Linked DNA regions of Kluyveromyces lactis. The protein of the gene in region 2 binds, or shares a complex with, the protein of the main gene of each other region. Links are inferred from orthologs where the notes say so. Each region holds a gene or a part of one and is shown on either strand. Other genes may lie near its edges.

Region 1 (2,240 bases), on a different chromosome or scaffold from region 2:
AATCGGCATTAGACACACAGATCCATTTGGGGAGACGTTGCAACCAATTCAAAAGACGGACCCCAGTTGGCCCCAGTTCTACAGGTTGCAACCGTTGCTACATTGGAATCTCTCACAGATATGGAGTTTCCTATTGTATTCGGGAGAAGAAGTATGCGGATTATATGAGATGGGATTCACTTCATTGGGCAGTGTAAACAACACATTGAGAAATCCATACCTACGGATACCAGAACCTATAGGCTCCATGACAAAGGCCGAGACTGAACATAGCGATTTCCAATGGGAAATTGAAAACAATTACAGAGGAGATTCTAACATGCATTGTAACGAAATTAACGAGAATGACCTTAATACCATCAAACAGCATGATTCATCTGAGTTCCATCCGGGATGGTATCTAACGAAAGACGAGTGGGAAAGAGCTGGCAGACTCGCCAGAAAAGTTTGAGATGAATCCACTCACAAATAGCTACAAAAATCTCTATCATATTTAATAAATCGTGAATTCCTTGATTTTAGATGATATATGTAATATTAGAAAATGGTATTATGTACAAGTGATAACGAAGGGGGAGAAAGTCTGTCTGCTTCTTTCTAATCATGAGATTTTCCACCAACTCTATCGTACAATCTAGCAGCATGATAGTTGATATTACTCTTCTGGACTTTTTGGTTCTTACCTAAGGCATTTTCCGCGGTACATGCCTTCAAATCTTGGGCCAATGTCTCACATGCACCGTACATGTGTCCGTTAGAAGACCAGCATTGTAATAGATTGGACATCAATACCAAGCATCTGTTAGCCTCTTGTTGAATAATTGGCTTTTTCACCTTAAGTCTGGGAAGAGGTGGTAATTTATAAAGAGGAGTCTTACTGGACATGCTTTAATATATGAACACTTGATATCTTGGACGTACCCTTCGCAACACGACCTTACAAGACCTCTAGAACGGACTACGCGACTACATTTATGATATTTTCCATCATATAAACGATATCATTCTTTATGATCTTAACAAAATTTTTGAGACTTTCGCCAATGTTGGATCTAAGTATGCGGTGTACGGGTTAAATTTTTCACTTGGGCCTGCCCTGGAAATGATGAGCTGCCGCGACAGAGGGAGAGAGAGCATATGGGTATAAAATAAGAGCTATAGACTATACTGTTGCTTAATTGGCAAGTACGTATACCGCTGATGTTCAGTATTTGGAAAGATCAGGCATGCTTAGGATTTCACGATCCTTGTTCTTACTGAACTCTTGCAATTGTTTTAGAATATTGGAGTTCTTCCATCTGTCAGGAAGAGGTGTAATGGAATAGTTTTCTGTGGCCCAGTAGTAGATATCCCAATCTAGTTCGTTCAACAACTGGTCGTACTCTTCTAGTTGTTCTGGGGTCATTTCCTTTAAATACTTAGCAGCAAAACGTGACAAAAGTAAGTCTGTTTCCAGAATACCTCTCTTTCTGGACTGATAAATTAATCTAGCACGCTTCTTGTCTAGAGACTCGCCGGTTCTCTTGATAGGTGGGATTCTGATTCTCACCGTGACATCGTCATCTTGGCCCTCAGCACCGTTGCTGTTGCCCTTGTTCAACAAGTAAGCATTTGCGTGAAGAGAACGGCATTGCTTTGTAATCGAGTTAACTCCAGATTTCAACACTGATGGTTTGTTGAAGACAGTTCTTAGCATTATTAGATGACAGTGGTCGTTTGTTGACTGGACAGGTAGGGATAGTATAGAGGAGGGTATACTAGATATATGTAATACAAATTAGGACCTCTTCCTAACCTGGGGTAACGGAGGAGAGAGATCAACCAATTCAAATTGTGATTCAATTAATATTATATATAGCAAGACGGGTAAAAAGGTGCCGTAATCGGTTCGGTCACGTGTACATGGACCTAGAACTCCACAGCTTTGCAACGTCGCTATAGGAGGAGACCTTATACTTGGCTCACACTGGGTAAGGTCAGTGAGAGACAGGTAGCCTTTGTGACAGGTGTGTCTAGTACGCTGGGAAGATTACTTCACCAGTTAGGCACGTGATCTGTTCATCGTCGACGTTGTAAGCTCTAGCAATGACAGAGTATTTGCCAGGTGGCACCTCGCTAGGGATCTCCACGATCTTGTTCAACTCGTAGACACCTTCCTCGATTGGACATTTCAATCCGTCGATGTCGTTCTCCTCCAATTGTTCACACAAATCGTAGGTTTGTGAGATTAACTTGATGTA
Region 2 (3,063 bases):
TGCCTCTATTCTGGAAACTGTTGAAAACATGAATATAATTGATATGCATTGGGAATGCGGAGATATCCAAGATATGCAAGATATACAAGATTACAATCGATTGAGCAGTTCGTTTAGAGTTTTGAGCTGGCAATTCCTGACTTGGCATTGTCCTGTGGGCTCTATTCATGGTAGCGTCGTTCAGTTGATCAAATATGGATGAAGAGAAGAGATTACGATCCCAGTTACGCGGGAAGCTGTGGTTCTATGTGGAATCGATTATCAAAAGAGAACTACCAGAAGATGTAAAATACAATTCAAAATATGTCAACACTCTTACTGAACTGGTTTACCAGCAGATATGTGAGGTTGGTGGTGATTTGGAAGCTTTTGCCCAACATGCTAACAGAAATGTTGTTACGTCTGAAGATATGTTACTACGAACAAGGAAGAACAAGGATCTACAAGATTTTTTGAAACTACGACTAATGGAACTACGAGATGCTAACGTAGGACGACAGAGTAAAAGGTGAAAGGAGCTTGTTAAATTATGTAAAATTGCTATATATGTACAGGACTTGTGAAACAAGCATGTGTTTTTTTTAATGGAAAGGTCAGAGACTAATATCAGATCAACGCTTAACCCAGGTAGGCATCTTTCTTGCCTTTCTCTTACCAGGCTTCTTTCTTTCGACGTGTCTGTAATCTCTTGTCAAGACACCGGATCTATGCAATCTAGTTTTCAATAGTGGGTTGAAAGCAACCAATGCCTTACCGATTGCATGCATCAAGGCATCGGCTTGCCCCGTAATACCACCTCCGGAAACCATTGCAAAGACGTTATATTTGCCAACACTGTCAATGGCTTTTAATGGATACATTACGGATTCTCTGTCCTTCATTTTAACGAAGTAATCGTTTAATTGACGGTCGTTAACTAAGATCTTACCTTCACCACGAACCACATATACCTTGGCAGTAGAGGTCTTTCTTCTTCCGATGGCCAAACTTCTACCAAACTCGTCTAATTGCTTCAAAGTATCTCTTTGAGGTTGCAACTTCGTCTTCTTATGGTATTTCGCTAAAGTGTTCGAAATCTCATCGGTAACCAACTGTGGATCAATAGAATTCAAACGGTTCAACATGAACAAAAGCTGCTTATACTGGGTAGATTTCAAACGGGACCCACCACCTATTAGAGCGTACTCTTGCAAACTCAACCAGGAAGGCCTTTCTTCCACTTGGACGGTAGGATATTTGATATATTTCCTCAACAACGCTTCTAAGTTATCGATATGAGCTTCGTGATGTGGGTTGGCGGAGTAAAAAGTAGACAACTTAGGCACAATTCTAGTCCCTGTGTAACCATATTCTGCACCAGCACGGGCGCCATCATTGTACTGCCTTGAACCAGAACCGGTCCTCTCAGACCCCGAGCTGTTAAACAATGGCCTGGCATAAGAGAATAGTCTTTTCTGTACCGTAAGACCCTGTCTCAAAGAGACACCAGTTAAACGTGAGAACATTTTTCTGATCTTTGGTTTTAGTCTCCCCTTCTATCCCTGTGGAAACTGCTCACGAAAGACCTCAGGCGACTAAGATAAAGACTGCTCAGCTTAATTTATGTCTGTCTCTATCTCTATCTCTACCTCTGGTTGAGCTTTCCAAATTTTTCACTTTCTCAGTTTTTCAATCTAGAAATGCAGATCCGTGTCTGGCTCGCTCCCAGTGACAATGTATACAGAGTTAGACATGGAACTTCAACTCGTACAGTGTGATGGTCGAAGCGAACATTGTCGATGTACTTAAGAGGTCAGCTAGTTGGAACGTACCAGTTGTTTTAGGGGTCAGATGTATTCACCTTAAGGGTGATGGTCGCAATGTGTACTGTAATGGTATAATGGTGTTATTAGTTCCCTTTTTTTTGGGTGGTAAGAATTATTATAAAAGAGCTAAAGAATTAAAGTATTATATCGTGTCTCATTTTGAAGGTCTATAAAATGATTTATTATAAAGTTGGATTGATCTAGTAGCACTACACCAGGCGGAATAAGTGGGAAGTAATGATCAGATATGTTTTATATAAACGGAGAGAGGAGGGAAACATATAAAAGGTGAAAAAAGTCATGACTTGAATGCGGAAGAGATTTCATTATTTTGAAGTGTCGACGACGTATCTACCGACGATAGCACCCTTTTCCATCTTTTCGTAGATGGATGGTAGTTCGGACAAACCAACGACGTGGATTGGAGCCTTGACTAGACCTCTGGAGAAGAAGTCAATGGCTTCTCTGGTGTCAGCTCTGTTACCGACGTAAGAACCGACAATGGAGATGGACTTCACAACTTGGTTAAAGACATCGGACTTACACTTGGCGTCTCTTGGTAGACCGACCAATACGACGGTACCGTTAGATCTGACGTAGTTGGTAGATTGTTCGATAGCGAATTCGGAGACAGAGACGTTGATGACACCGTGAGCACCACCCTTGGTAGCTTCGATGACTTCTTCTGGGATGTTCTTGGACTTGGTGAAATCAATGAAGTATTCACCACCCAAGTCCTTGAACAACTTAGCCTTTTCTTCACCAGCATCGATACCCAACACTCTGTAACCCATGGCCTTGGCGTATTGGACAGCTAGAGAACCTAGACCACCAGCAGCACCAGAGATGGCGACCCAGTCACCGGCCTTCAAGTTGGCGGATTTTAGGGCCTTGTAAACGGTGACACCAGCACATAGCACTGGAGCAACTTCAGCCAAGTCAGTACCGACTGGGATCTTGGCAGCTTGAACGGCATCAGCAGTAGCGTATTGTTGGAAAGAACCGTCGTGAGTGTAACCGGACAAGTCAGCTTCTGGACAGTTGGATTCGTTGGACAATTCACAGTATTCACAGGACATACAAGAACCGTTCAACCATTTGATACCAGCGAAGTCACCAATCTTCCAGCCCTTGACGTTTTCACCCATAGCAACAACGACACCAGCACCTTCGTGACCACCAACTAATGGCAATTTGGTTGGCAAAGGCCAGTCACCCTTCCATGCGTGCAAATCGGTGTGACAGACACCGGAGTACT

The links. Proteins that work in one complex are often made in the same cells at the same time.
Region 1: MRPS9 (region 2) and MRP10 share a complex: the UniProt entries of both Saccharomyces cerevisiae proteins name them as parts of the mitochondrial small ribosomal subunit. The link is inferred for Kluyveromyces lactis from reciprocal best matches to the Saccharomyces cerevisiae genes MRPS9 and MRP10.

Annotation. Positions count from the first base shown.
Region 1 is NC_006041.1:1,178,095-1,180,334, reverse strand, and holds MRP10 (mitochondrial 37S ribosomal protein mS37), read right to left. Parts: upstream 886-2,240; coding exon 598-885; downstream 1-597. Other genes in the region: FAD1 (FMN adenylyltransferase), read left to right, coding at 1-451; succinate dehydrogenase assembly factor SDH5, read right to left, coding at 1,205-1,696; NPC2 (sterol transporter), read right to left, coding at 2,013-2,240. UniProt on the Saccharomyces cerevisiae protein: Component of the mitochondrial ribosome (mitoribosome), a dedicated translation machinery responsible for the synthesis of mitochondrial genome-encoded proteins, including at least some of the essential transmembrane subunits of the mitochondrial respiratory chain.
Region 2 is NC_006042.1:1,963,072-1,966,134, reverse strand, and holds MRPS9 (mitochondrial 37S ribosomal protein uS9m), read right to left. Parts: upstream 1,506-3,063; coding exon 612-1,505; downstream 1-611. Other genes in the region: MHF1 (Mhf1p), read left to right, coding at 195-512; KLLA0_F21010g (zinc-dependent alcohol dehydrogenase), read right to left, coding at 2,132-3,063. UniProt on the Saccharomyces cerevisiae protein: Component of the mitochondrial ribosome (mitoribosome), a dedicated translation machinery responsible for the synthesis of mitochondrial genome-encoded proteins, including at least some of the essential transmembrane subunits of the mitochondrial respiratory chain.